7 linked regions of the Oryzias latipes genome follow. The protein of the gene in region 7 binds, or shares a complex with, the protein of the main gene of each other region. Links are inferred from orthologs where the notes say so. Each region holds a gene or a part of one and is shown on either strand. Other genes may lie near its edges. The genes, in order: bud13, sf3b5, cwc22, cwc27, rbmx2, ctnnbl1 and cwc15.

Evidence for each region.
Region 1: cwc15 (region 7) and bud13 share a complex: the UniProt entries of both Homo sapiens proteins name them as parts of the minor spliceosome. The link is inferred for Oryzias latipes from reciprocal best matches to the Homo sapiens genes CWC15 and BUD13.
Region 2: cwc15 (region 7) and sf3b5 share a complex: the UniProt entries of both Homo sapiens proteins name them as parts of the minor spliceosome. The link is inferred for Oryzias latipes from reciprocal best matches to the Homo sapiens genes CWC15 and SF3B5.
Region 3: cwc15 (region 7) and cwc22 share a complex: the UniProt entries of both Homo sapiens proteins name them as parts of the minor spliceosome. The link is inferred for Oryzias latipes from reciprocal best matches to the Homo sapiens genes CWC15 and CWC22.
Region 4: cwc15 (region 7) and cwc27 share a complex: the UniProt entries of both Homo sapiens proteins name them as parts of the minor spliceosome. The link is inferred for Oryzias latipes from reciprocal best matches to the Homo sapiens genes CWC15 and CWC27.
Region 5: cwc15 (region 7) and rbmx2 share a complex: the UniProt entries of both Homo sapiens proteins name them as parts of the minor spliceosome. The link is inferred for Oryzias latipes from reciprocal best matches to the Homo sapiens genes CWC15 and RBMX2.
Region 6: cwc15 (region 7) and ctnnbl1 share a complex: the UniProt entries of both Homo sapiens proteins name them as parts of the PRP19-CDC5L splicing complex. The link is inferred for Oryzias latipes from reciprocal best matches to the Homo sapiens genes CWC15 and CTNNBL1.

The regions. Positions count from the first base shown.
Region 1 is NC_019872.2:13,069,752-13,074,301, forward strand, and holds the start of bud13 (BUD13 homolog), read right to left. Parts: upstream 3,088-4,550; 5' UTR 3,059-3,087; coding exon 2,922-3,058; intron 2,781-2,921; coding exon 2,693-2,780; intron 2,292-2,692; coding exon 2,207-2,291; intron 2,130-2,206; coding exon 1,731-2,129; intron 1,428-1,730; coding exon 1,123-1,427; intron 1,039-1,122; coding exon 930-1,038; intron 778-929; coding exon 639-777; intron 558-638; coding exon 376-557; intron 231-375; coding exon 149-230; intron 1-148. Other genes in the region: uncharacterized protein LOC101171185, read right to left, coding at 4,334-4,431, 4,532-4,550. UniProt on the Homo sapiens protein: Involved in pre-mRNA splicing as component of the activated spliceosome. As a component of the minor spliceosome, involved in the splicing of U12-type introns in pre-mRNAs.
Region 2 is NC_019873.2:17,221,444-17,226,101, forward strand, and holds sf3b5 (splicing factor 3B subunit 5), read right to left. Parts: upstream 2,968-4,658; 5' UTR 2,843-2,967; intron 969-2,842; 5' UTR 944-968; coding exon 683-943; 3' UTR 77-682; downstream 1-76. UniProt on the Homo sapiens protein: Component of the 17S U2 SnRNP complex of the spliceosome, a large ribonucleoprotein complex that removes introns from transcribed pre-mRNAs.
Region 3 is NC_019879.2:6,699,771-6,703,783, forward strand, and holds part of cwc22 (pre-mRNA-splicing factor CWC22 homolog), read right to left. Parts: intron 2,000-4,013; coding exon 1,734-1,999; intron 1,347-1,733; coding exon 1,092-1,346; intron 884-1,091; coding exon 755-883; intron 67-754; coding exon 1-66. UniProt on the Homo sapiens protein: Required for pre-mRNA splicing as component of the spliceosome. As a component of the minor spliceosome, involved in the splicing of U12-type introns in pre-mRNAs. Promotes exon-junction complex (EJC) assembly.
Region 4 is NC_019870.2:3,041,520-3,045,532, reverse strand, and holds part of cwc27 (peptidyl-prolyl cis-trans isomerase CWC27 homolog), read left to right. Parts: intron 1-2,955; coding exon 2,956-3,035; intron 3,036-3,113; coding exon 3,114-3,144; intron 3,145-3,212; coding exon 3,213-3,394; intron 3,395-4,013. UniProt on the Homo sapiens protein: As part of the spliceosome, plays a role in pre-mRNA splicing. Probable inactive PPIase with no peptidyl-prolyl cis-trans isomerase activity. As a component of the minor spliceosome, involved in the splicing of U12-type introns in pre-mRNAs.
Region 5 is NC_019872.2:23,467,961-23,472,428, reverse strand, and holds rbmx2 (RNA-binding motif protein, X-linked 2), read right to left. Parts: upstream 2,979-4,468; 5' UTR 2,876-2,978; coding exon 2,871-2,875; intron 1,337-2,870; coding exon 1,221-1,336; intron 1,139-1,220; coding exon 1,087-1,138; intron 1,019-1,086; coding exon 889-1,018; intron 814-888; coding exon 627-813; intron 558-626; coding exon 280-557; 3' UTR 70-279; downstream 1-69. Other genes in the region: ap4m1 (AP-4 complex subunit mu-1), read left to right, coding at 3,772-3,829. UniProt on the Homo sapiens protein: Involved in pre-mRNA splicing as component of the activated spliceosome. As a component of the minor spliceosome, involved in the splicing of U12-type introns in pre-mRNAs.
Region 6 is NC_019865.2:1,883,057-1,887,069, forward strand, and holds part of ctnnbl1 (beta-catenin-like protein 1), read right to left. Parts: intron 2,058-4,013; coding exon 1,920-2,057; intron 817-1,919; coding exon 744-816; intron 1-743. UniProt on the Homo sapiens protein: Component of the PRP19-CDC5L complex that forms an integral part of the spliceosome and is required for activating pre-mRNA splicing.
Region 7 is NC_019872.2:16,000,713-16,005,190, reverse strand, and holds the start of cwc15 (spliceosome-associated protein CWC15 homolog), read left to right. Parts: upstream 1-1,626; 5' UTR 1,627-1,726; intron 1,727-2,082; exon of another isoform or gene 2,083-2,085; 5' UTR 2,086-2,092; coding exon 2,093-2,223; intron 2,224-3,026; coding exon 3,027-3,139; intron 3,140-3,247; coding exon 3,248-3,348; intron 3,349-4,209; coding exon 4,210-4,320; intron 4,321-4,478. UniProt on the Homo sapiens protein: Involved in pre-mRNA splicing as component of the spliceosome. Component of the PRP19-CDC5L complex that forms an integral part of the spliceosome and is required for activating pre-mRNA splicing.

The sequences.
Region 1 (4,550 bases), about 2.9 Mb from region 7:
GATACAGTCCGCGTCTCGGGAACTGGGGACCACTGCTACATAGTGAAAATACCTAAAACTGTGATCATCACAACTGCAAAACTAAAACATTGCAGAAGAGCTGAAAAGTTGACAAGCAGCATCCCATGAGGTTTTTCTTCAACTGTACCTGTCCACTCCATCCCAACGGTAACCGGGAGGAATGTTGAAACGGTTTGGGGGTGGCGTAGGTCCATTGTAGCGAGGTTTGTCTGGAAACAGTAAGAAAATTTTAAATGAATCATGTAAAACTGCAACTGAGATATTTGCTGTACTTGAAGTACTAATGCCCAAATTTTTCCATCAGAAGAGTAAAAAAAAAAAAAAAAGTACAAAAACTTGTAGAATGTTTCAAACCTTGTGTTTTTGAGCTTTTTTCCTTTTTCCGCCGAAGCATGGCAGCCATGGGATCCCCGTCCCTCTCCTGCTCCCTCAACATGCGGTCCAGATCTTCGTCGTCACGGTGACGGGCCAAGGGCTTCTGGGCTTCCAGCAGGGCGTCCTCCAGCTTCTGCTGCTCCATCTGATTCTGAGCCAGCCTAAACACAAACAATAACTTGTCTTCTTACATGTGGTGGAAGTAGCATTTTCAGTGACTTGGTATGGTTTTGTGGATTTACCCTTTACCCCACTGGGCATATTTTTCATCTTTTGCAGCCTTTTCTCCTGCTTTTCTCTTCTGCTCCTCCCTTTCTGAGGTCAAATCCCTCCTTTTGCCACTTTTGTCTCGGAAGACCGTCTCCGCATTACGAGATTCATCTGATGCGTAAATAGTATAAATAGTATAAAAACACTTTCATATACCGGTACTTCAGAAATATAGAAAGTCTAAAGTTATACGATAAGAAAAGGGTTGTTTCAAACTCTCTTTTTTTTTAAAAGTAAAACTGAAAAACAAAAGCAAGGCCAACCTTCAAGAGGTTGATTCTTTTTTTCTCTGCGTCGGTTTTCCTTTTGCTCTTCCCTTAGAATCTCCACAGATACCAAACCAGCCTTTCCTCCGGAAAGCATCCTGTGGTCCTGAAAAACACACAAAAATATTAGATGGGGTTTGTGCTGCAAATTAGGTTTCACACGAATCCCTGAACAGCGCAGATCCCTCACATGAGACTGGCCAGGTCTCCGTGGTGGTGACAGATCTCCATCCGAGTCCTTTCCACTCCTCGAGTGCTTTCTTGGTGGAGACTGGTCGGAATCGGATCTCTGCCTTGTTCTGGAGCGTCTCCGAGGGGGAGACTGGTCAGAGTCGGAAGCTTCTCGCTTCGATTGCTTTTTCCGTGGAGGAGATTGATCGGAGTCTGAATCCAGCCTAACCTTAGTCTTATGAGCTAAAGGAGACCGCCGATCATCTGGCGACCTTGGTTTACCGTGTAACGATGAGCTGGGCTTCCTTCTAGTGGGAGAAGACTCTGAGAATCAAAGAGAATGTTTGCACTATATATATTAGAGTGCAGAGAGCAAAACTAGTAATCCTAATATGAAATAGAAAAAAATAAATGTGTTTTACATAAACATTTTATTGTGTCAATATAACTATTGATATTTTTAGTAACTACTATAACCCAAAAATCTAAGAGGTTCCAGCTTTAAGCTTATTCAATGCTTAAATGGCATTGGTATGCCGTTTTCAGCTTTTTCAGTGACTTGTGCAAAATGAGCATTGTTCTGTATAAAAGCAAGAAAGAAAATCTTAACTGTAAAATAAAACTCACCTTTACTTTTAACTTTCCCAGACTTCCTTAAATGTTGCCTTGAAGGAGACTTGCTGGGAGAGTCATGGCGTCCTCTGCTAGGAGGAGATTTATCCGGAGAGTCATGGCGTCCTCTCCTAGGAGGAGATTTATCCGGAGAGTCATGGCGTCCTCTCCTGGGAGGGGATTTATCCGGAGAGTCATGGCGTCCTCTCCTGGGAGGGGATTTATCCGGAGAGTCATGGCGTCCTCTCCTAGGAGGAGAAATGTCTGGAGAGTCGTGTCTTGGTTTTTTGAAAGGGGAACCATGTCTCCCACTTTTCGATGACAGCTCTGGTGAGTCATGCCGACTTTTTTTAGATGTTAAAGGCTCCTCCTGCTCATTTTCTTCGTCAATTGTTTTGTCTTCGTCTTCATCCGCTACAGAACAACACAGTTAATATGAAAAACAACATAATTTAAAAGAAGCCAAATTTATATACTGCTTTTATAGTTACCCCCAACTATTTTCCATCTGTTACTGGTCCTAAAGGCCTCCATCTGTTTCACCTCTTCTGGCCGCTCATCGATGAACTCTGCAATCTGAGAAGGTAAATCAAAGTACAAAATTTAGGTTTCCTTGGCTTTAAAACTTTAATGTACATAACATAGACCAAATCAAATCATTATTTACTCTGTTCAAACATCTGTGTTGACTGCTTCACACACAATGCAAGTTTCCCACATATTTCATTCAAACCAATGTGTCAAATCTATCTTGCATCGATTATCCTGCATTAAAGCAGATCAATTCAATCTCACGTCAGATGAAATTCCTGTGTTACGTCTGGATTTACATTTCAATAATGTTAACAAAAAAGAAAGACATACATTTTATTATCATCAAATCAAATATCGCCATCAGACTTTCATGCGTGTAAAAGTTAAACATAGTAGACCGTACTGCGGGGGAAATGCTAACGCAAGGCTGCTAGCTAACTCACCACCGGAGCTTCCTCTTCATCCTCTTCGACATCCGGCTGCTGTTGGACCATTTGTCTCCAATCAATATCATCGTCTACTATTTTAAGTCTAGATAAAAACAACGAAGTAACACAAAATAAAAACGATTAAACTCATAGAAACAAAGTTCCAAATCAAAAATAGCTTAGCATAAGGAAACTAGCTTGGATGCTAACAGAAAGCCAAACGGCGCAGTATTTCGGTACTCACCTTGTTTCAGGAAGCTTTTTTCGTTTCTTCTTGCCTTTTCCTTTAGATGCACCATGGTTGTCGTCAGCTGATAAATACCGCTTTAAGTACTCAGCTTTAGAAAGCTCGGGTCCGGTTCCACCACCGACCGCTGCCATCTTTGTATTGTGGGAAACTACGGGTCGCGTCAAGGGTCAATGTAGACGACGAGGAAGAAGACGCGTTTCTGTATTATTATTATTATTATTATTATTATTATTATTATTATTATTATTATTATTATTATTATTATTATTGTTATTATTGTTATTATTATTATTATTATTATTATTATTATTATTATTATTATTATTATTATTATTATAACAAAAAAGTTACTGTTATGCATAAATAAATACATTGAAGATAAAGTTGACTCCAAAGAAGTTAAAAATGATAACTACTGGGCCACAATCTGCTGCAAGACTGTGTCTGTGGTGGGACCCAGTGACTGGCATACAAATAATGACTGTCACCAAAAAGGCTAAAATTGCCTGATTTCCCTAATTGACCCACAAATTTAGTCGGTCATACACCGATGCCTAGAAAGACAGGAGAGCAATGTTTTTGAATTGTAAAAGTCTTTACTCTTCTTTGCATACGATTTCAATTCTTGTTCTTATTTTTTTATTTGTCGATCATTTTTTTTACACTAAAACTTTTTCAAAAATATAGGCCGTCACTACTTGCTTTTTATAACAGAGACAAAAAGACCTAAATATTGTCCCTGTTACATGTCATGTCCAATATGTAGAGACAGATTAAATGTCATGGGTTATTGTTTATCTAAGACAGTAATAACCAGCTGCTGGTCTAGTATGATTTCCATGAATGACAATGCATTTAGGCTCCATTGAGAAAATGTGACATTTCCAAATACTGGTATTTATCTGTCAACAGTGTTCTTTGATTTATGATTTAAAAAAAACAACAAAAACAAACAAACACACAAAACAATTATATTTGTTCAATCATAAATGAAATGATTACAAGCAAATTCACAGAGCTCTTCTTTTATTAACAAGCAAACAAGAACACAATCAATTTGCTGCTTTTGCAGTGAGGAAAAGGCCACAAAAACTATTAGTGCTTTTTAATGTAAAAGAAAAGAAAACATAAAATCAATAATACCTCATTAATAAGTCAGCAACTGCATCTCTTAGTCTGCCATTAGACTGTCTCCCTCGACGAAAAAGCTGCACTTTCATTTCTACTAATGGTTAATTTACATTCAGTACTCACAGCTCTCAGCTCCTAAACATTTAAATCGTCTACAGTGGAAACATTTACCAGTGTTTTTTACAGAAGGAAGAGAGATCTATTCTGTGACAGAAGCGAAAGTGCTTAGCTTAGTGAGTATCTGCAAAAGCCTGACTGTTCTCTTCTCAGTGCCATCAGCTGTCATTGTGATGAAGGAAAAAGACCAGGCAGCCAATCAAGAACCAGGATCTCTGCAGAAACACGCTCACTGCTGAGCATGGCACCAGGGAATCTGTAAAGAGGGAAATTATTGAAGCACACCAAAAATCTATCGAAAAATTCTGCCAGCTTTTGGTTAACACTCATTCCCTTCAGCTCTTCAGTCCACCCACCTTTCTCCACTGTGATTTG
Region 2 (4,658 bases), on a different chromosome or scaffold from region 7:
CCTTTTATCATATATATTTTGATGGGCAAAAAAAAATTAAAATTTGTGTCTGACTAAAGCCTGCACAACAAAACAGTACTTGTAACTAAGACGTTTATTATAGGTAAACACAATTGGCAAATATTCAATCTAAAGATGCATTATTTTTGAAGGCATTTGTAAAAAGTAAAAAACAAAATCATATATTTTAAGCAAAAACAAAACCACTGCTATAGCCATTGCTGCTCCTTCAACAAAGTCCTAAGGATGACTTTGGTCTTTTTCTTTTTACAATAAAACGTCTTGTTTGGATGATTTATTCATTTAAACGTTCTCACTTTTTTAAATGCGTTTTAGAAAACTGACATATTTCCAGAATAAAATGATCAGTGAAAGAGCTTAACCAAAGGAAAAATAATGTTTTCATTAGAAATACAACAGTTCAACATTGTGCACATATTGGACATTTTTAACATTTTCTGAAATGGATAAGTTCAGGTGTCGTCATTCTCATTCGTTTCCTGAAAGCACTACAGTTAATGTATTCACCGATCAAACAAGTGAGAATAGCTTCAGTGAACACATGAATACCAGATTTTACTGGCTGCTCTGACCTCAAGGTTAGAAACAAACAACCGTCCAAAACTGAAAAAAAGAAAAGGTAAGAGGGAAAAAAAGCTGCAGCAGTTGGTTGGGCTGTGTTTTATGCATCATCGGGTTTGTCTGCAGGTGGTCCACATGGCTGAAGCATCTTCTCCATCAAGTTGAAGCGAACACGAGCTTTGCTTTCATTTTCAGCGATGGAAAAGTAGTTGAGCAGGTCAAAATGACCCATGTAGGAGCAATAAGAGTCACGGTGCTGGTTCACCAGCCATTCCCATTTGGTAGTGTCAGCATGCCCTGTTCCGATGTACTTGGACTGGAGATGCTCCAGCTGACTGTGGATATTGTATCGGTCAGTCATTCTCTCTGAGATCAGTCAACAGGCTCTGGGAGAAAGAAAGTAAATCAGAGATTTGAATTGTGCTTCAGCAAACAGACGATCCAGTCAGATAAACTCATAAACAAGAAGGTTTTAGTTATTCTTGTGACATTTGTGAGGAAAATTACAATTCAAAGATAAAAACAAAATAATTTGAAGGAAAAAAAAACTCAAAATAATGCCTTTTTTATATTATATGGTGGTACATGTAAATAAATTAAACCTTTAAGAAGCAAATGTTATAAACATGGCTAATGGTAAATACACTTCACAAGCCTATAAAATTCTATTATGTGTCTCTCCAATGAGTGGGGAGCATCTGAAAGTAAAGATTACCACATCCAACTGCTAAACTTCAAATATATCAATGAATGTCAGTTATACCATGGTCCAGGTGAATGCTCCATTCTGATTGGCTGCTGAGTGGGGATTAAGTAAGGGATAGTCACCAACAAAGTATACGTTGCCAGAAATTAACGCACGCCGTGGAAACCCAAACTGCCCGATGCTTCCGTTGATTATTAGTGCGTTGATTATCCTGCTTTTACCATGGTCACTTACAAAACAAATACATTTTCAATCAGTTTTTAGTCATTTATTCTTGTTATTTTTTCGGTTTACGTTGCTTTTTTCAAAAAAAGCGGACTTTTTGCAACATGGTGTGGCGTGTTGTCACGTTACCGTAACATGACAACACGCTGAGCTGGCACCGACCTCCACTGCAGCAGTAAAAGCCATAAATAAGCTGATCGTCATGATGGTGTATGTTAAATTAAAGCATCAGTTCAGAATGAAGGTTCACCGCTCACCGCTTGTTTTTATCCAGATGATGAAACAAATGTCTGTTTTAAAAAAGCCGGCGCAGTGACACAGAACATCTAAGCAATGTAACTGGAACTTCTTTTTTTAGACGTGCGGTTATCACTTTTTTAATGCACACTCAGCAGCCAATCAGAATTGAGTATTCACCCGTACCATGGTATAATTTCTGATAATGGACACCTCAAAGGTCATTATCCGTCTTTTAACGGACGACAAGGAAGCTTAAACTGTCAAGACACCTTGTCAGCTATTATCCTTTACTTACCCAGCATCCCCACAAAAATCTTATAGGACACATTGAACACATACCCATTCACCAGTCTATTATTAAACTAGTGTAGAAGTAGAATAATTATTAAATTACTATACTTTGCAGTGGTGTGTATAAACATCAAAATAAAATATTCAGTAAAAACAAAAATATTAATAAACCGTAGAGTTGAATGTCTAATACAGACTTTTCCCCTTATGTTTCTTACGTCCCTTTTCTCCAGATCATATGCAGTTTACTTTGACATAATGAAATACAAAAGCTTTGTTTTGTTGTTTGCACACCAACAAATTCTGTATTTCTTAGATTATCATCCCTTTCAATAACATGAAACAAGTTTTGAATTAGTGTGACAAATTAAAAACAAAGGCATGACTGATTTGTTAGAATTACAGGAAAACGACGGATTTCTCACAGCTATGCAGATTTGAACCTTTTAGCCTAGCTAAACTGCTAGAAATTCTGGTCTTAAGGAAAGGACTCCTCGGAGAGTCAATGGATAATTTTCCCATGAGGAAAATCAATATAATGCACAACTACCAGAAATTAAATAAAATCGTGTCATACTTTATTGCAGATATTTACCATTTATGGTATATGACCGTTTTTGAAAGCACGACTATCCCTTTAAAACAAAGTTACATTTTACTTTGTTAGCTTGATCCTATATCATTAGCCTGGGTCTCGGCTAATAACCTATTTAAACTCCTGAACTTTAGTTTCTCTCGTAGCCAGCGGTGCAACTTCCATGTGGCCATCGATGATATACATATAAAAGGTCAACTTACTTGAAAAGCGCGGGTTTGAAAAACAGGTGAAGCTTGAAAAAGATGATAAAAACTGCGTCCGTCCGAACACACCGCGACGAGCAGAAGCTGGCTTCCGGTTTGCCTTCGACTTAACAAACCGGTGAGAAACCGAGACGGTGTTTTTTTTGTTCCGACTTTTTATTCCTAACGCGATGGTAAAGGTGGACACCAAAGTGAACGACATATAAAACCTCATTTTATGGAAAGGTGAAAGGCAAGTCAAATATTCTGTATCTATTCCTTTTTTTTTTTTTTTTTACAATGATAATTATATATATTCTTGGTCATAAACAGGTTAGGAACAATATTTTTAGATCTGAAAACAGTTTCAGGTTTTCGGTTTTAAAACAGCAGGCATTTAATGAATGTCAACTGTAGTGGACACCAGGACCATTTTAATCTATTTAATGGCTACACATTATTTTTAGGTGAAAGAAGTGAAGCTGAGAGGATTCTGTACCAGATAGTCGAAGGTTGATTCATATTTGGAGCTTTCGGATGATGAAAAGGATGAGGAGGGTGAGATTCAGTCTGTGATAGGTGATGATGAAGATGAAGAAGATGATAATTCAGGAGAATCTGATGAGTCAGAGAAGGTGCAGCAAAGTCTTCGTGCTCTGTGGACCAGGACTAACTTGCATGTTTTATTTAGTTTCAGGCTAATGTCTTACATTTTATGACCATGTTAGAACATTGTAGTGTTTGTACTATGTTTAAATGGAAAAAAAAAAAACTGCTTTTTTTATTAACTTGATTTTTTTTGTGTTTTTTAAACGTACATCATCACAGGTTTACACCTGTGCTAGCAGGGCGCCCCGCTCAAGATGACCCCAAAGTTTGTGAATACTGGAGTCCAATCTCGTACTTTTCACAGTACATCGATAACAATATTTTCGAGGATCATCTAATGTTTTTTGGGTGAATATCACTCTAAAGATTTAATCTGCTCCTTTTTTCTGATTTTCCAAATTGATCTCTATTTTCACAGAAATATCATCCTGTTGTCTTCTATCTACAATAAAAAATATTTTTAAAAAAATTAAAATTGTTAGGTGTTCTAGGCCTAAATAGATAGGAAATCACATAAAAACAGGAATTGTAAGACACTTTTTTTCCTCGGTTCTCAGGAGGTTGAATGTTTTTTTAAATTTTTACATTAAAGTTTTACATTAGACAGGAATGGTCTGATGGTTTTCAGATGTCAGTATGTGACCAGTGGCCATGTATTCACGTGTGCAAAAAACCCTGCTTCGTCAGTATTACTAAATGTGCTACATAAATCAAGTAAAGTTACAATATTTTTCAGTGATTCCAATATTTTATAATTTCTTTCATGCTATTTATGACACAGAATAAGAAACAGAACAACCTCGTTCCTTTTTTTTTTTTAAAAGAAGCTCCATTTTAAAGGAAGAACATCACTAAAGTTTATAAATAATGCATGTTCTGCTGCTTTACTGGGCAGCACTAAAAATTGGGTTTGTTGGCAAAATATGCAAACTGTCATGAGTTTGCAGTAAACAAATCAACCAAAAAAAAAAGAATCTTAACAGCTATAAAAGTGAAACTATTTTAACTCTGTTGACAGAATCTCACAGAAGTTGGTCTACTACTTTTACTTGCAAAATCAGAGATTATCTCAGCCACATTATATGTTTTTAATTCAAGTGTCTCAATGGGCTTCACTAATTGTACAAAACATAACATCAGTGATAAAATATAACAGCTGAATGCTAAAGTAAACTAAACAGACTAAGCTAAACTCGGGGTATCCCTGCCCCTTAAATCCTCCTTT
Region 3 (4,013 bases), on a different chromosome or scaffold from region 7:
GCGTAGACGTGAGTGAAGATGGGAGAAGCTGCCTGAGCTTGCAGCACCGATCGAGCCAGCAAACCCCTGACAGAAACACACACAGAAAGGAGGCGTCACACAGGAGCTTTGGGACTTAAAACACACACATCAGGTCCAGATGTTTGACTCCTATAGGAAAACTTAGAAATAACATTCAAAAAGGGCTGCACGTTATGAGGAAAACTGGCGATTTGCGATATTAGTGATCAGTTTTGCGATGAGGATATAACTTGCGATAAATCAACATATAGCAAAACAACTAAAAACATAATTTCCATTTCACTGAAAGAGATTAATTTAAATAAGAGTCAACATAACTTAAATTACACTCCAAATGACCCCCGCCTACATAAGAGGCGAACATCTAACATAAAAGGCCTCCATCTGATTGGTCAATGTTGTAAAGGGTCCATCTGAGAGGTCAAATGCAGAAATGGATTTATTTGATTCGTTAAATACTTTAAGGTGTCATAGGACTGTTTGAGCACATTGAAGGGAACCATTTATTGCAATTTTTCGCCGTCTTTTGCGATATGCGTATTGTATAATAATTGATTTGCGATTTATTTTGCAGGCCTACATTCTAGTTTTTTAAATTATTTGATAAATAAAAATGACTTAATAAAAGCAACGGAAACTGTTCTTCAAAGCAGAATATCGTATATTAGCCTCAGTTGTTACTGAGGTTTTTCAGAAGTTATGTGCAGTGTTTTTTATCTGACCATAAGCTCACCTCCCTCTGACGATATTTTCGTGTAGGAGCTCCTGGATGATGTTGACGATGTTGGACACGTTGACTTTGTTGATCAAACCGTTGATGGACTTCTTCAGAGCCTCCCAGCTCATCCTCTGATAGGCCAGGCTGTACAGGCAGGCAACGAGTTAATCAACTGGCTAATAAACTGACTTCAGCTGCTGAACAGACAAATAAATGAAATAATAAGTGATCTGAAGCTGCTAATAAAACGTAAAAATGGTGAATAGCTTGATAAAAACCTGCCACTAAAATGGAAAGTTCCAGAATGGGTTCATACCTTTAGTTAAATAAAAGGTCTTAATCTCTGTCTCACCTGCTCTTGTCAGTGATTTGTTGCTGCATCATGCGCAGCTTGGCAGGGGGAATGTAAGCACCCCCGGTCCTGGTCAGGATCGGATCAATCTCCTCCTTTTTCTTCTTAACGGGAGGCTTTTCGGCAGAATCTGGCTCCTTGTCATTGGAAGGAGAAGCGGAGCGGCCCCGCCTCCTCTCACCGGACTCCATATCCCTGTTGCCTCGCCAATCAAAGCGTCCATTTCTATCGTCGCGTTGATCCTGGTAGCGATCCCTGAAAATCAAAAATATTCAAAAGGTTTTGTGTCAAACCCGTGAAAGGTTCGATTTCTTGAGACTCACGTTCGTCCAATCTGTTCAACATTAGTTCTAAAGAGTGGATTTAAATATGTTAAAAGACTTTACAAAAATAATTTTGACCCAAAAAAAAGTTAGGTCTACAAATAAACATGGGGAAAAAAATGATAAATCCAGCAAAAAAAAGAACATCTAAGAGTAAAAATAATTATGACAAACCTTTGATTTAAAATAAGATAATTCTAAACTAGGGTACCCTAACATATAAATCCACAGCTGCTTAATGAAATTCAAAGAAGTTTTTCCTTCTATTTAAAAGAAATAGGATGAAATCAGACAGTGTTGGTGTGTGTCTAACAGTTACCGAGCATAATATCTTCTGTTAGAACGGTCTGGGTTCCGGTCTCTAGATTTGGACCTGGATCTGTCCCGTCTTCTGGACCTCGATCCGTCTCTTCCCCTGGATCTTGATCTGGATCTGGATCTATCACGACCCCTGGACTGAGATCTTTCTCTCTCCCTGGACCGGGGTTGGTCTTTCTCACCCGACTTGGATCTGGATCTGGATCTGGATCTGGAGTTGTCCTTTTCCCTGGATCTGGACCTTGCTTGCTCTTTCAACTCCGGTCTCTGAAAGACACAAACATAGGACAGTTAATCAAGACTGCCAACTTAAGCTGTTCACATCATGCAACTATGTGAGCTTTTGGGTTACCATTACAAATCAATCTAAAAAAACAAATATTCCATTTCTATTGATTAAAAAAAGACATTTTTTTGCTTCCAAGCTTTAGTTCAGTTGAGTGACGGAAGCAACTCTGCAGTCCATCGTCTGTCTACATCCGTCTGCTTTAAATAAGAGCCTGCAGGTAACTGGAGAGCTCGTCTCTCAGAAAACAGTCATTGCCACAAAGTCTTCTTTCATTTGTTATTGTCTCAATCAGTACTCCAGTTTTTGCTCAGATATCCTGGGGTGCCTTTCTTCAATAAAAAAAAAGCTAATTTCCCTCTGCCTGAAATCTCAATTAAGATGCTATTTTTTTTTAATCTGAAATTATTAATTACAAGTAGTATTTAAAAGAATTTAACATCAGATAAAATATGTTGTATTTAGTCACAAAGTCAAGGTATCTATTAAAATGATGCTCATGATGGCAGAAATGCTTAACTAAGATTCAGATGATGGCAGATGGAAATGATATTGCATCTTTTTTGGCAGCTTTCTCTGCGAGTTTGTTTAAACTAAATGGTGGTCAGTTTTCATTCATGAAACCTGAAGACTTTAAATCAACAATGTAAAAATAGTGGATGTGCAAATGTCTACAGTACATAAAGCTTTTCTGGGGCACAGTGTACTCTTTAAACTGATAATAGTGTGACATCAGAAAAAAAGAGGACATTTTGATCATTAGAAAAAGAAAAAAAGCTTTGAAATGAATTAAGACAAGTATATAATAAGGACACTCAGACATTCAAGAAGAAACCTTTACAAAATAAAAAAGTTAATGACAGACTTCACACATTTAAATTCCAGATGCATCTGATTTTGAAAAGCCAGACAGATAAAACATGATTTTCCAAGTCTTTAGGATTAACAGCACAATGTAATATATTTAAACAGAGAAGTTAATTTCAATAGTTTATTTATGTTGACTCTTTTTTTAAACTAAGAAAGACAAGTGGAAAATTATCATTAAAAGTTGAAGTTTTTTCTTCTTTTTTTCTCCTTTAAGGAGTCTTAAATAGTATATTCAAAACAGACACTTTCTACATGGAAAAGAGTATTAATTTCCATAATTCATTTCAAAAAATTGAACTTTTATAGTGTAAAGGTTTGGGGCCCACCATTTAATTGATTTCAAGTGTATTTGTTTGGGGATTAATTGGAGTTCCAGCTCATAAAACCCACAAAAACAAGATTTCAGAAAATCTGAATACGGTACTGTGGGGAAATCTCCCCTTTTGCAAGAAGATAAAGACGGAGGTCATGATCACATGAAATCCATTAAAATAATGTATTTTCAAAATGATATGTCGATCTTCATTGCTAGGTTGGGAATCCCTTAGCCTTAACAACTGCCTTGATGCACTGTGACATTGATGCAATCAGCTTGTGGCGTTATGGGAGCCCAGATTTTCTTGATGCTGCCGTCAGCTCTTTTTTTGTTTGACCCCATACATTTTCAATGGCCTTTAGGTTTATCGAGTTGGCAGGCCAGACGAGCATCAAACCAGGCTTTGGAGCTTGTAGCGATATGGGCGGGGTCTAAGTCCTGCTGGAAGATGAAATCTGCGTCTCCATCCAGATCCTCAGCAGGAGGAATCATGAAGTCTTCTAGAACAGTGGTCCCCAACGTTTTTAATGCCACGGACCGGTATGACGTCACAGAAAGGTTCCTAGGACCCGTCTTGAAACTTGTAGACAGATGATTATGGTCGCTATGCCATGATAAACAAGTACCAGAGTCATGGCAAGACGAAGCCTGAGCTTTTATTTTTACACGCATGACATCGTACAGGTGTCATCATCCTCTCCCCTTCCCACATTCATGGTGCAAAAAAAAAAGAAGTACTGTCTACTAAATGTAGCCTTCTTTTTTTGGAAGTGGAAGGCTCCTCTTCTGTTCCCAGGCTGGGTGTTTTC
Region 4 (4,013 bases), on a different chromosome or scaffold from region 7:
ATCAGAGGGTTGTTAGTTTGGACATCCTACAGACACGTATGACATCTCATGCATGCAGCATTCGCGTGCGGTCAGTAAGCGGCCAGTACTCCCCCCCCCCCCCCAACACACACTCACCCGGTGACAATATATAGGTTAGTATCTATAAAAATTGTGTAAGTACACCTAAAATTGTATCTTTTAACATTAATAAAAGAAAAAAGCAATATAAATCCACTTTCAACAAATATTAACTTTATTTAACCACAGAAACCCTGTTATGGTCTAAAACAGAGAAGTAGCTTTAAGTGTCTGAAATTATTCCTTAGTTAAACTAGAAACATTTTGACCAACTGAACCATTTGATGCTGAGAAAAATAATTCAGTCACTAAATGATATTAAATGTAAATTGATTTGAAACATTAACACAGCTGCACCAATTTATTTAACGTTTTTAGTCTGAAGAAATAGATAAAAAAAATTGTGCTGATTTTATTTTTCTAAATGATGGATTGTTTATTTAAGATATCAAGAAGTGCAGCTGTTTTCCTGCATTACCTGCTGTCTTTATGTCAAATACTGACACCAACTAAACCACAGGCAGACAAAGAATACATTGATGGAAAATAAAGACACGTAACAAATATGTCTACAATAGCTCATAAAGAAAGACATTATTAGCATGAGCTGAGTCATCTAAAGGCATGTGATGATCCTGGTGTTGCGTAACCATGCAGCGCTCCGCGTGCACGTTCCACCTGGCAGCCTGAGCCCACTACCCCTCCCCTCTCCTTCTCACACACGCGTGTGACAGGAGACGGGGGCAGCTGCAGGGACGGCAGTTCACAGGTTTCTGTTACAAACTCTGAGATTTAAATAAATATTCAACCGGTTTTTAGTACTTAATTCTTATCTTTTTGGTTTGGCTCGCTTTTATCACAAAAAAATGACTACCGTAATTTCTGGATTATAAGCCGCTACTTCTATCACACGCTTCCAACCCTGCGGCTTCTTCAATGATGCGGCTAATTTATGCATTTTTTCTAACGGCCGCTAAGGGCGCTCGAGCAGAAAGGGTAAGAGTGAGACAGGGGGAATACAGTATATGTGAATGCTTTGTGAATGGATAGCACGAACAGACCCTCATCATGGAAAATGCAAGAAGAAATGCATATGACGCAGCTTTCAAGTTAAAAGCAGTCGTTAAAAAAATCCACCATCACCAACGGGTTTGGAAAAGCCGGTCTGCTGCTGACGGAGAGGACAGCGCACGCTCAGGAGGGAATTTACCTCAGAGTGACACTGACGGAGTGTGGCAAAGAATATCTGACGCTATTCCAATCCAACACTGAGGAGGAAGACTTCCATGGTTTTAGTGCACAGAGGCGCTGCTCTCAGTGACTTTTACCTGTATGTTTTTTTAACCAGCCCTGTCAGTGCTGTTTCTACCATATTGCTGCCGTGTTACTGCAGGCACTGATTGGAAGAGAGCTGTGGCGGACCTCGAGTGCAGCGGCAAAGGAAAGCGATATATACACCGATAGTCATGATGGATTAAATAAAGCATCAGTTCAGAGAAAAAATTCACCTCTTACCGTTTGTTTTTGTCCACATGATGAAGCTAAGGTTTGTTTTAAAGAAGCCAGTGCAGTGATACAGAACATTTAAGCTATAGGCGTGCATTATCACTGTGATAAATCACTTTTTAATTCACGCTCAGCAGAAAATCAGAATCGAGTACAGTGATCCCTCGCTATAACGCGTTTTACTTTTCACGGTTTCGCTACTTCACGGATTTGCATCGTGCATTGTGTTCTGCATTCTGATTGGCTAAAAAGTCACTCCGCTTCTTCTCTACCTGGGCGTCAATAACGTTGCAGTTTAATACACATAGGTAAATCAGCTTGCCAAATTTACAACACGTACGTGCAAATTATCTTGCAATTTTGAGTTTCTCTAAAACCCATAGAAAAAGAGCGACAACTGCCAATCACTATGTTCTTCTCCCGATCAAACACAGCTGCACCGCGGGCTTCAAAAGAAGAAAACACTGCAGAGCGGAGTCAGGATGCAGCGACTCAGTCTGAAGAGCAGTGAAATACACCTGAGTCACTATTTGTCCCACTGTACTTTGTATTTTTTTCATAATCATTTTAAAATTTCTCCTGTTTAATCCAATCCTTTGGGTCGCGGTGGGCGGGGCTAATCTCCGCGATTTGAAGCCTTCTGTTCACATCGATGATTAAAATTATTATTTGACAGTACAGTACAGAAGTTATTTGTTGAAAAAAACTTTCTAAAGTACTTTTATTTAATGCTAGAGCCTGTAAAATGGTTTGTTCTTTCTTTTCAATGTATAATAGAGGATTTAATTGTATAATAATTGTTAAAAGAAAAAAGGTTTCTACTTCACGGATTTTGCCTAAGACAGGTTCTTTTTGGAACGTAACCCCCGCGTAAAACAAGGGTTTACTGTATTCACCCGGACCATGGTATAAAAATTGTTTCACTCACTTTAAATACCGAATTTAGGTTTTTCAGTCACTTTCTTTGGAACAGGTGTATGAAACCATGAAAAGGTCTAAGTGTCATCTGCATAGCTGTGCTGTGTTCTAATATTTTCATACAGAATCTGACTTTAATGCTGTAATGACATTAGAGAACAGTGGGCCTGAAAACAAACCCTGAGGAACTCTGCAGCCACAGGGATCCAGTTTGAATTACCATAGGAACAGTTTTGCTTCCCAGACAAAAACGAATCTCAACATTCCTCTAAAGTATTCTACACACCAAAACAGATTTAGCCTAAGTTTAAGTGCTTAATAATAAACTGCTTTTGTATGAGAACAGCATCGAAATGTTCAAAAAAACTGAAACAAAAGTGTTTTTTTTTTTTACAAACTGTGAGGTTTATCATGAGGAAAAACATGTTAGAAGGTGCTAAAACCAACAACTGACTTTCTTTTTTTCTTCAGACATTAAAGGGAAAAAGCAAAAGCAGCCACGACCTTCTGAAAGACGACCCCCAGCTCAGCTCCGTCCCCGCCGTTGATAAGTAAGCGCCGACGGACGCCGAAGCTTCAGGGTGTTTGTCTGATTGTTCACGTTAAACCCGATTGTTTTATCTTTAAAGGAAGAGGAAAGGGGGGGCTGGAACTGGAGAGGTAAGCTTTAATAATCTAAAAAAAGAAAACGGGTAGATTTGTAAGGATCATTTTCTCTTATTTATCAGTCAGAGGACGATGCAGACAGCGACGTGGACGGTGACGTGGCTGCAGGGGAAGAATACGACTCGGACGGCAAAGAGAAGATGAGAGAGCTCATCAGTAAGAAGTTAAGGAAAGAGAAAAGCGGCGACAAAGCAGCCGAGCACGGAGGAGAGGATGAGGAAAAGGGGAAGACGACGAGCCGCAGGTACGCCGTTCAGCTTCTCTGTTTCTTTTTTTGCCCCTTTAGCCGTAAAAGCAAAGGTTTTTTACGGCAGCTCACGGACTGGTTCGATGTCAGACGAGATTTTCACGGACCGGCCTGCACGAGGCTGAAGTCTGATTGCTTTTTTTCAGCTTCCAGTTTCCCTTTCAAGGGTAAAGTTTATCCTCATTCCCTGTAAAATATCTGCGGTTCATTTAAACTTTATTGTTCACTGGATTTCCTGCAGGAACCATTAAAATGAATCTAGATTTTCCTTTACCCATAACTGTCAAAACGGAGGCTAAAAAGTCAGACGCCGACTTTAGCCTCATCTCACTATTAAAGAAAAAAGGGTCACTAAAACGGCTTTTTTCTATGTATCATATTAAACACCAATCGTTTAAACAACTTTATTAGCAGCATCTTTGTAACATCAGACAGCCGGCTGCTAAATATTCTGCATAATCATTATCATTACGGCCCGGAATACATCCATATTTGGAGTAAAGACTCCTGGTTTTTGTCTGTTAAATGCAGATTTCTTTTATTTTGAAGTCGAAGGCTTTTCTTCTGTTTCATGTCTGGATCTTTTCTGCCAAAAAAATACGGTTAAAAAGAACAA
Region 5 (4,468 bases), about 7.5 Mb from region 7:
CCAAATGTCTTTATTTAAATGCTCCTTAAGCTTTAGTGAATTCTGAAACGTTTTCAAAAGAGAATCAAATTTGCTGTTTGAATTTTTTTTAATAAATCAATTATTTAAATCATCGCCCAGAAGACAAACTTGTTTTTTAACACTTAAGACAAACTTTACAAATATCTGTACAAAAAAAGGCTTCTCATGGAAGCTTTGTTTACAGGAGGATGTCAGCCAGCAGGGGGAGCTCTTCTGCTGAGGAGAGAATGTATCATTCTCCTCTCTTTACTCCTCCATCTATCTTCTGGAGCTCTCCTTGTCCGCCTCTCTCCTCTTCTCTCCTCTCCTTCTGTCCTCCCTCTCTCGTTCAGTCTCTCTCTTACTCTCCACATCTCTGTCTCTCCTCTTCTCCTCCCTCCTCCTCTCCGTCTCATTGTGTCCGTTCTGTGACCCCCCCGTGGCGTACTTGTCGTACGCCGTGTCTCGTTTTTCTTCTTTGACTCGGATGGGAGGTGAGGAGGAGGAAGCTCGGCTCTTCTTCTTCTCCTTCTTCTTTTTCTTCTTCTCTTTTTTGTCTGCAGCAGAAGAGTACAGGTGAAACTGACCCTCCCCCTCATAAATGACAGAACAGGAAGTGACCTCACCTTTTTTGGGTTTTTTCACAGGTATGACGAGCTGCTCGTCATCCTCAGAGGAGGACGGGGGGGCGGCAGGGCCCGTGGGGGCGCAGCCATCCTCCCTCAAGCGTTTGGTGACATCATCGATGTCCTCGCCGTCTTTGGGGGGGCGGTAGTTTTTTACGTGGTCTACGCGAATGGTGCGTCCTTTGATCTGGAGGGGAGAAAGAGCTTCATCATTAAGGATGCTCACAGTGGCGCCGCCCCGGGTGGGGGGTGGGGGCCTCACCTTGATGCCATTGAAGTTGTCCACAGCCAGGATGGTGCTGCGCTGGTCCTCGTAGCAGATGAAGCAGAAGCCTTTGGACTTTCCCGTCTTCTTGTCGCGCACCAGGTTGACGTTGACGATCTCACCGTACCTGAACGGACACATCAGTAAGCGGTGTGTGCCCCCACCCCACCCCAAAGCGAGGCTGTGGGTACGTACTGAGAGAAGACGCAGAGCAGGTCCCCCTCTGTGAGCTCGTAGGGGAAGCCTCCTGCAGGATCAGAACAGACGTCAACCACCTGCTTTCACGCTTCATTTACTGCAGGTTCCTGTGAGAAGCTCCGCCCCCTCACCCACAAAGATCCAGGCGCTGTCCCGGTACTCGCTGTGCCACGACACCTTCTCGTTGACCCCGAGGTCGGCCTCGCGCTCGTTCAGCTCGTTTATCAGCTTCACCTTCGTCAGAGGACTGAAACAAATCAACCGGCAGGAAACTTTCAGTGTTTTAGAAGACAGCAGTCAAGATTCTGTTCATTTAAACAAAGTGAAATAAACCTGAAGGTCAGCTTTCTAATATTCATGTTTCATCAATTTATTTTTTTATGCACCATCTCAACATAATGAACATTATGAAGATTTCAACCATATCTTCTTTGTCTCTTAGTTGCTACATTAATCATCCAGCTCTCTCCTCTATCGTCCCCACCAACAACCCTCATGCCCTCCTCTTCATCCATGAACTTCCTCTGTGGTCTTCCGCTAGGCCTCTTTCCTGGTTTCTGTAACCTCAGCATCATCACTGCTGCTCCTCCAAACCATCTCCATCTGCATTCATGTCCCAAATATCAACCATGATCTGCTCCTCTGATGGACTCATTCCTGATGCATCCTGGTCTCTCCCAAAGAGAACCTCAACATCTTCATCTCTGCTACCTTCAGCTCTGCCTATTGAATCGATATTGGAAACCACCGTTTGGATTGAGACCTGGTGAGGTCATTTTACTATAACATAAAGGCTGTGCCCCAAGTTCCCACCCTAACATAAAAAAAGAAAATTGCAAAAACTGTTCGACGCAATGCATTGTGGTTTATATTCACTCGATGCACACTGCTTTTTCGCAGAGACTTCTGGGAAATTTCTAGGGCACTCGACTTTGAAATTGTAGGTTCGGACAGCACTACAACATGGTGAATGTTGTGCACTATATAGGGCAATATATAGTGCACTACATAGTGCCCCCTAGGTAGTGAGTATTGAAGGAATTCAGACACAATCAAAATTAACAGAGTGCATTACAGCAGACAAAAAACATGTAATTTCATCAAAAACTGATCAACCATCATTCCAGTCCAAAACTGAATTTAGAAAGTCATGTGACCACACAGTGTGCTAGAATGTTCCCTTTGGATTCTTTGGATGTGGAAAAACAACAGTGGGCTGAACTTCAGGAAACTAAAATGTGGATGGATTTGATTTTAATTCTTTGTTTGTACATATTTAATTTAAACTTGATTATCTTGGAAGAAATCTAAGGAATCTGGAAAACTTCACATTTCAGTAGCAGGTATTTCTCGCTGAGTCACACTGGATGATGTTTTGGATAAAGATGTCCTGGATCCATTAGGTCACTGAATCGGATAAAACGAACAATTATCGAATGATTGAATCACATCAACAACCACTGATTGGTATGCAATCGTTACACCTCTAAAATGCAAATACAATCAAACGCAAGTACGAATTCAGTAGGTGGCTATTCAGTACCTGGTCTATTAAGTTTAAAAAAATCAAATTTGATTTTTTAGAAGTTTTTAGAAGTTTTTGAAGTTCTACAGTGGAGAATTTGAATGGAAATGGGGAAAAGGCGACACACACGAAACATAAAGCCTGCTGCTATCGGCTGGAATCCGCTCAACAGGAAACCAACGACCAGAAAAGGGATTCTCTACCAAATGAAAAATAAAAACTAATGTAATGGCTGTAGAGGGAAACGTTTACTTACTTCATGGTGAGCTCGAACAGCAGCGATGTTATGGTGCCAAAGACCAAGCGTGGAGAAGTGGTGCACTTCCTGTGGAGGTTCTGCGTGTGCTGCCGCCTGGTGGTTGGATGACCGAACTACAGATGAAATGAACGAGAAAACTGCGCGAACGCGAAGCGTCTAACACTGCCCGAATGCTGCTTTTAATAAACAAGAAATGTATTTATTTTATTTTTGTAAGAAATTGTGAAATGCTGAATGTTCTGTCTGTAAAAAGCAAGCGTCCAATCTTTCCGCCTGCACGACAGGTGGCGCTAACAAGCTAACAGTTCATTTTTAACAGGATGCAACACTTAAACCAGACAGTGGACGTTTTAAAGCGTGTTGTGTTTTTCAAGCTTTTAATGTTTAAATAACACCCTTTCTTAGAGTCGACATCATTGCAGGAGATTTTACGTGGAACTGGAAAATGATTTGTAATTCCACGTTAGCATGGCTTTAAAACACTTAAAGTTCAGTTTAAACGTCTGAACTGTGTCATCTTTTCAGGTAAATTCAGTTTTCCTTCGACTTGTCTTTACCCTATTCCGCTTTACTCAGTGTCACCTTTAACACGTTTGAGATTAATGTGTGACGCACACCTACAGTAGCACACACCAGACAATCTGATTGTTTATTGTTAGTTTATTTTTTTCCTCATAATAACTAGTTTCATGCAGTGAATATGAGATGCTGCTTGTTTGTCATTTCCCCCATAAACAGGGGTTTTCTCCTTTATTTCGGCTTGACTGCAGTTCTGCAGACAGACTTGGACGTGTTCCTGCAGATGTTGTTTCTGCAGATGTTGCAGTGGCACTGAAACTCCCCCTAGCTGTCCCACCGGGGTGAACTGTTGCCCCGACAGTCCTCTATCCTCTGCAGGATGATCCGGCAGCTCTTCATCTTGTCCTCGAAGGGCGACCCCCTCCTCTTCAGAGACTGTATCCTTCTCAGCTCTCACCTGCTTCTGTTTAAATCATCCTGCTTTGAAGTTCAGTTCTGCTATACAGTGAAAGATCTCCCCTTTGGGACAGACTTACTCTAGCAGGGGTACTTGTACTTGCCCATCTGGGGTACATTTTTTGCATCAGTCAGACACAGGTGTTTTAAAGTTGTTATTTTCAATGGTGATGGGCTTCTCTGAAGGCCTAAAAATTATCTGAATCATGTGTTAATTAGAGTTCGTCCATGCATTCTCATTAAATCATTCCAAATGGTCTGTCCATTCCTCTTTTAGTGTGTTTATGATGGTGATGCTGCTTCCAGACGTATTTTCACATTGGAACATTTAACCAATCACATTCCAGCTCTCCTTTGTTGCCAGGCAGGGTCAGAGCTACAGAGGCCTTCACTATCTGTTCTGCAGGCCCTCTAATGCAAAATCAATGTCGGAGATTAATTTCCCTCATCCAATCAGATTTTGAGTTGGTGTCAGCAGGGCCTTCTAGCAGGCTTAGACAGCGTCACAGTATTCAGACCCTCTGATTGGACAGAAGTTTCAGGAAGTCACATGCTTCCTTGTCCAGTTTGACACAGAGACATGGAGAATGATCTGTTCCCTCTCAGTTTATAGCAGACTG
Region 6 (4,013 bases), on a different chromosome or scaffold from region 7:
ACATATCACATGCGTTGGTCCTTCCTCTGGGGTCAATTTGACCCCAGGCTGTTTCAGCTGCGTAAATGAAAAGCATTCAGATGTGAAGAGAACTCTGCAACAGTAAGCTTCACACAGAGAGAGAGATCTTTGCCGGCACCGCCGTGTGACGGATGACTATCTGAGGCGTTCCATGCCAGCCGGAGCTGGAGGGCGTGTGTTCAGAGCCCCCGCCCTCCAGCTACAACCAACGGTAAAACCAGGAGGATGGATGTCGCACAAGAATGGGAACAACACATCTGCTCTGTCTGAGAAAAACAACGAGAGACGGCGGCACGGGAAATCTTTGGCCGAGTGGAAATGACAACATATGGTGGGACACTGATTACAACACAAACCATAGATTTAGTCTTTTAAAAAACAAAAACAACGTTTTAGATCCTGAGGTGTGCTGTGTTTATTTATATCTATATCATTTCTCCATCTGCATTTTATATCTAGTAGAAACGTCAAACCCTGTCACATGACTGACGTGTTGTGTGGGAAGTGTGTGGGAAGTGTCCCAACAGCCACAGGCTGCTGTGTATTTAAGAGCCGACTCACAAACGAGGTACAAGTCTAAGGTCTCCAGCGTTTCATTTACAAAGGCTCAACCCGCTTTGCTGGTCTTCTGTTATTCTGCTGTACAACAGCCACTTCTGGAAAGCAAATTCCGGCACGGACCTGAATTTGCTTTGAACTGGGTGAAGGAAGAAGTCACGTACCTCTCATGATGTGGCGAACAACTTTGACAGAGCCTCCTCTGAGATTGAGAATCTGATGCACTCTCTGCTGAAGCTGAAAGCCAAGAAAAAACACTCATCAAAACCAGGATTTGGAACAAAACAGGCTCTTTTTGCAAATTTCTCAAGTGTACTTCTATATGTATTGATGGAAAAGTAAAAAATGTAAAGAATAGCAACTCTTTAGTGACAATTTAGTGAAGAAATCTACGGACAATTTCACCAAATCCAGTGTTCTGCACACACATTTAACATTATTTAAGGAGGAGATAATTAAATAAGTAAATTCTTTAGTTTGCCTTGGAAGAGAAGTGCATTTAGAGCCTTTATATTAGTATCAGGATGAGAAATTTGTAGAAAAATTCATCTCCTTTCAGAAGAGGTTTCAGTATTACATTAAATATATCTTAAAGTATTTCAGCACAAGTATGCGTGTGTAAACGGTAGTTGTACTGTGTACATGCTGACATTTTTGACTGTGAAGATGTTTTTGTGCCAACAGGTAACATTTGAGAGTGTGTGTGGACAGGCCCCGCCCCTTTTAGACTAACACCTGCACCTGACAGAAATGATTATAAACTTCCGGCAAAAACGGAAACAAATATAATGTATATAAAAAAAAAAACTTTAGGCTAAGTTACAAATGGGGGGTTTATACAAATATACACCTCGTGTGTCAGAAGATACATAACCCCATGTTGTAAAGTTACAATCTGTCCAACACAAGAGGCCTTCACCTCTTATATGTCTCAGCTGTTGGACAGCACAAGTTCACTTTAATACGCATAAACCCATTTGTTATTTTTCAGTTCATCACAAGTACAATTTACAGTTTTATCTGATGGAATATTTCCAACAAAACCTCATTGCAGTTTAGCAATTAGAAAATAATGATCAATTACTCTTATAAAAGAAGGAAAGCACGACCAAGAGCGAATAAGACAGTTATAACTTTAATATTAGTGCTTAAAAAACAAAGTAAACAGATTGTGATGTATGTGGAACAGCAGCAGAACCAGTCAGATCTGCAGCTCCTATAGAAACATCTGCCTCCTGCCTGCTTCCATGGCTTCCCTGATCAAATGCCTTAATGATAATTGATTGTTCTTAAAACTCGTTACAAACCCAGCCTGTGTGTGTGTGTGTGTGTGTGTGTACCTGTGAAATCCCAGAGTTGCTGATCTCCACCATAATATAGCAGATTAACTGAAGGACAAATAATCCTGCATCCAAACGGCGAAAGTAGAACTCGTCCTCCATGCTGTCGTCCAGGATTTCTCCACGCTGAACCATCTCCTGCACATTCACCATGTGCACGCACACACACAAACACACACACACGGAGATGTCAGCTGCAGGGAATCTGATGCAAAGTTCAATCAATGTGCCGTTAATCAGCCTTTTCAAAAAAATCCTTTTTCTCCAGTGACCTGCCACGCAAAAGGTATCGATTCCGGCGAGAAGCTGAAAAAAGAAAAGACTCCAACACAACACATACGTTTGCTCACTCGCGTACATATTCATCTTAGGAGTCTGGACAGTATGCCAATAACACAACGCTGCCAATAAGCACACAGCGCCGCATTAATCATCATTAGAGATTCAGAGGGGAGTGTGAAGGTGGACGGGGAGAAGCACAAAACGCCGACCACGAAGGCAGTTTGGGCGGGAATCAAACGTGTCACTGCGATTTTTTTCACCTTTTCACCTGCATCTTTGATTCTGCAAACATTTAGATTTACAAAGCAAAGGCATAATATATCTAAATGAATTTATATTATTACAAAAACCAAACGTGCAGATGATGGTCTGACGCGTTTATTCTGTCCCGCAGCCTCCCTGATTGTTTTTGCAATTCTGTCTTACTGCGCCTTGGAGGGAAAGTATTGAAAATATTATGGGATGGCCACAGAGCCCACAGCTTGGCATCCAAATTGTGGCAAAGTGTGAAGTTTTCCCATAATATGGTAAAAGATTTGTTTTGTTTGGGCGATTTACATTTAAAAAATTCACACACATGTCGCCAGGGTAACAATCCCAGCTGAGGTGACCTTTGACCTCAGGAGGAGGCTGCCATCTTGATTTTTTTTAACCAAAAAAGAAAAAAAAACTTTAAGTAGCTTCTACAAATTTAAACTCCTCCCAACAATTCACTTTAGCCGATTGTTCTACAAATTACGTAGACCTGTTCGTTACCCAAAATGGTTGCCATAGAGATAAAACAAACAGAAAAGCTTCCATGGAAAATGTTCTCTTCTTCAAGAATTTGTCTTGAGCAGCTCTGGCCAGGGTTGCAGGGGCAGAGGCGGAATGTGAGGGGCACTTATATCAGCCGCCCCGCTAATGAGGGCGGGTCACAAAGGGGGCGGCGACAGACGGTAGCCCCTGCAGGCCATACAATTCATGTTGTCAGTGTCCACTGGCTGGTTTTATTTTGAAGAGGACAGCTATCACTTTGTAAAACAGTCCCAGAGCTCAGCCTTTTTGTCTGACAAGCGTGGAAAAAAACTTGAAACTCTTCCATTTGAATTCAGTATGTGTTTCCTCTCCCCCCTCTAGAAAAAAAAGAGATAATCTCAGTTTCCAGGACAACAACTGGGCTTATCGTTTTGCAGGGAGGGGAAGTAGCAGCTTTTGGCAAAGCCGCACAGATCTTACAATTCAAATTCACCAAAATGCAGGTTTTACATCTGCATGAAACACAAAGAAGACACTACATACATGTCACCCCCCGAGGAAGACGAAAGACAAAGCAGCCGCTTTTATTTTCTGCAGTTTCTCTTGCTTCTCTAGAGGAGCCGTTTACTTTACATGAAGCTCATGACGGCCTGCAGCCATCTCTGCAACACAGAACCACAGACATTTCTGACATGGCCACAGACAACTCAATTACTCCCCCCGTTTCCATTTCTGGGTTTCTCTGCAGCACAGGATGGCAAATACACAAAAGCCTTTTTTTAAAGAAAATAAAAAAGAAGGATTCCCCCCCCCAGCAGGCATTACTGGTCATGTGAACAAGCAAAGGCCCGTTTTCCAAATGATGCAATCCTGCAAGGAAAATGTTAAAATCTAATGCAATAGTAAGAGACTTTAAAAATGTCCAACATTTATATTTTAAGCATGAAAAACCTATTCCAACTTTTTGTTCGCTTAATTAAAAATGAAAGTTTAAAACAGCTTGACTGACAGATTAGGATCAACAGACTAATTAAAAAGATGAACACAACTAAAATCCCTGAATATTTTCTGTGT
Region 7 (4,478 bases):
ACGTTGGACAGGTCACATGGCCTTTACAGTTACAGCCGTAGACTGTCACAGTCTACGACTGTAACTGTCTTATAGACCTGTTTTTACAGTCTATGTTTCCAGCAAAGAAAACAAAAAGAAACCATGTAATGCAAGGGAAAAAAATCTATTGTTAAACGTTTTGTGGAACCCAGTCAGTCTTACTTTCTGGGGCAAAAGAAACAAAGGTCACCTTTAGTAACAAAGTACGTCCCCATGGGTAAAGATCCCCCCGCTTAAACGAACACGGGTCCAGGCCGTCTTAAGTTTGCCAGAGATCATCTGATTGATCCAGAAGAGTATTGGGAGAATGTCATTAGATCCAAATGGAACTCTGGTATGAACACCTCTTGCATTTGTTAGAGTAAGCATGCTGAGGTCAGAACATAGCTGGCTCTTCCAGCATAGCAATCATTCCAAACACACTAAAAATGAAGCTTTTTTTTTTTAACAAAAAGTTGGTAAAATGTCTGCAAACAGGTGCAGAATTCTAATTGAAAGGCACAGAAAACAAAATATGAAGTTTAAGTTACCAATACTTTGTCCAGTCATTTCACTAGTTAATTATTGTACAAAAATTCCAGAGTTATGCCTGATTTTCATTAAATTATTTATAAATTGATTAATACTTTTGTCATTTCTCAGACATTTCTTAAAACATTGGAGGGGAGGGACAAGTTTGGTGCAATCCAAATATTGTTCAGTATTAAGGGGAAAAGGGGCAAATCATGTTCTCTCTTCTCCCTTTCATTTAAGAGTGTATTTTTGAGCCTAAGAGGTGTTTTAGATTTGTATTTTCACAATTATGTATTGATATATCTTTGGAAAAGAATAAAATAAACTCATCAAACTTAAACAGCAAACACTGAACAAATATAAACCAGTGTTTCTGTAGTTGAAGTTAAAGCCAAAGGCAGCAAAGAGTCCAACGGCACAAATCCAGAGAAACATCCTTTTAAAGAGGAAGGCATATTATCTGAGAAGAACATCTCAAAACCTAAGGATGAAGACTCATCAGGTCTAAAATGGAAAAAGACAGGAATTTTACATCTGTTACAAGTGTTTCAATTATGTTTAATAGAATCTACGTATCAAGACTGTTAAATAAAGTTAAAAATAATGTGTTCAATTTGGAATAAACTATATTTAAAAATCATGTTGTGATGTTAATGTTCACTTTGAGTGGAGAAATTAAGCTACAGGAAGACACTGAACCTGATGCACATTGCCCCATGGTGGCCACGTAAAATGTTTTGCAAACCCTAATCGCACATTTCTACAGTAATTCTACCGGTTACTTCAAAAGAAGAGACAAGATGACTCCTCGTAAACACTTCCTTGTTTACACCAGTGCTCAAAGGTTTTATATGTTTTTCATTTTAAATGTGAGTGTTGGTTTGCTGAAATCAGTAATAGACATTTTTGGCTGTAATGCTTTAGAATTCAACCATGTACCCTGGAATATCACCACAGCATTTTGAAAAAGAAAGGTGTAACAAAGCATTTTTGTGCTAATTCTTTCTCCTTTGGTACAATATAGTAATTTCTTTACGATAAATATCAGATTACATTTGAAATGAGTAATGCATTTTCCAATTCTTTTTAAACGCACCAACAGAATCGTATTCTTGACGCATGCGCAACAGCAATTTCAATCCGGAAGTGACGTTCTATGGTATCCTCTTTCCGCTAGCCGTGTAGTGGAATCGTGAGTATTTTTTCCAAGTCAAAGACGTTTTTTTACAGATGTTTTTTTGTTAAAACGGTATAAATATGATAAATGTAGCCATACATCTCGTTTGATTAGTGTGCAGTGAATCTTAAAACAAATAAGTTTTCTAAAGAGCCCAAAATGAGTTTTTTGTCTTGTCTGAGTGTTAGCATAATCAAATTTGGTGGCTAGTAATACCCTTTATAAGTATTAAAGTCTGTTTAATCGATAAATGTATGTATATGTTTTGTTATATACAACTGATGTTACCTTGTTTGTTCTGCGTTTAAAGTACAGTAGCTAACTGAAAATAACTGTACTCATGTTTGACAAATACCGTGTTGTTGTTGAAGCAGGTTAGGGATGACTACCGCAGCAAGACCAACGTTTGAGCCGGCGAGAGGAGGGAGAGGAAAAGGAGAAGGCGATCTGAGTGCCTTGTCCAAGCAATATTCCAGCCGAGATCTTCCAGGTCACACCAAGATCAAATACAGGTGGTTTTTAGTTCCTATTAAACTCTGCTGCGACAGCTCAGTTGAAAAAGAAAGCGATTGTTTGAAAGAAACATATTTAATCATGTTAAGATTCTCGAAGATTCAATCTGAATTATTTGGGAAATGGTCAAACCGGATTGATTAAATTAGTCTTTTTGTGCTATAATTATTAAAAAGTGGAACATAAATCTACACTTGATTAAATGTCTACATGTATAATGTGTTGGGTACAATTAAGCTAACCTCACGTTGGAGCATCACATGAATCAGTTTATGACATGGGGGGGGGGGGGGGCATGTGTGCATTTTCTTGTCTATTTAGTGTCTCTCCATGACCCTTAAGAAAATGTTAAATAATTTGCTCACAAATATCTTGCATCTAATAAGTCATTGCTCAGTATTAAAATGGTTATCAACTAAATTGTATAACCATAAAGCTTTTGTACATTTGGAGTACATCATTTAGTATTGATAATTCTTGATGGTTTGTTTGCTGCAGGTTATGTTTAAATTGTAGCTACAGTGTGTAGGAGGGGTGGTTTGCATTTACCAATTGTGCAAGTTCTACAAAAAATATTTTTACAATTTTCGCTATATATTTTTTTTTAATATGCATTCAATCTCTCACAGTTGTAGTGTATATGATGGAATCATAGACCTCTCATCTTTTTAAATTAGACAATTTGCTAAATATGTTACTGAGAAATACTTTTTCCCCCAACTGTACATGTTACTATTTATCTCATGAGTGGTTTTTGGAGTTTGTAGTGGGACTTAGTCTTGAAAATGCTATGATCCCTTAGACAGCCCACTCAGGATGCCCCCGAGGAGGTGCGTGCCCGTGATTTCCGTAGGGAACTGGAGGAGAAGGAGCGTGTAGCAGCACGTGAGAAGACCAGAGAGAGGGGACCAAGAGGTTAGTCTCTATCAAAATTTTAGACTTACTGTTTTTGACACACAAGTATAAACCAAGCAAAGTATGTATTTTTCTGTAAATGCAGTCTTTACATTTTTTTCTCTCCAGAACACACTACATCCTCTTCATCATCTTCATCATCATCAAAGAGGCCCAGGTTGGATCAGATTCCAGCTGCTAACCTTGATGCTGATGACCCTCTCACTGATGTAAGTGTCTGCACTGATATAATAAAGAAAACATTTCATCAGTACACCTACGGCTGGGAGATGAGACCTTTTCTCGCTGTTGCACTTGACATGATCTGAATAGATATTGATATTTTAGTGCTATAAAACTTTCTCTTTAAAGACTGTAAATATTAAAATTAGCAATAAAATGCCTGGATTGACTTAATTGGGGAAAAATCACTGTAAAGTTGACTTTTAACAAACAATTTCTTTTGTACAACTTCTCTGCTTTGGACACATTAAACTTGAAACATCCCAGATGGTTCATTTGTGGTTAATTTTAGCTGATCAGACCACCTAAAAGAACAATTGTGGGTAAACTTAAAACTTAGTTTTTTCATTCAAGAAAAAAAATGTACACAAAATTTAAAAAGTGTGGCAAACAAACTTGATTTAAATATGACCGTTGTTCCTCCTCTGGAAAAATTGAGCAGACTGGGGCTCTCCAAATGCCAGGCTGGTGTATTTAAAGGCTAAACTCCCTGCATTGCCTCTTATGGTCGGTCCCACAGTACAGCTCCTGAAGCTGAACCTCATCCACATCTACAGCTACCAGCAACACATCCAGCACTGGTACCTCCAACAAGGTGGCATTAGTTAAACTGATAACTGTAGCTGACTTAAAAGTGTCCAAGTGTGCACACTACAAATAAAGACTGATGTACTCTCTTGTAAATGTCTTTTATTGAGAATACGTCTGAAAATGTCAACTTATTTAAAAGTCATTAAACAGTGGAAAAGAACGTCAGCAGTGCATGGGGGCTGTCACCATTCTGCCATAGTTGTGCTGCATGAGGCCATTGCAGCCTTAATCCTCTCTAAAATCCTTCCTCTTCACAGGATGACGAGGATGAGAACTCTGATGAAGATAGTGATGATGACGACACTGCAGCTCTGTTGGCTGAGCTTGAGAAGATAAAGAAGGAGCGAGCCGAAGAGCAAGAACGCAAAGTAAAACATTTGATCCATTTTGTTTTGGTACCTCTGTGTTTACAGTCAGCAGCATGACTTTGTTCAAACACAATGTTTTAATAATCAAGGAAAAATATGATTCTTGATGTACAAAGCCTTGAAATAGAATCTGTTTCCATTTTACGTAACTCATATTT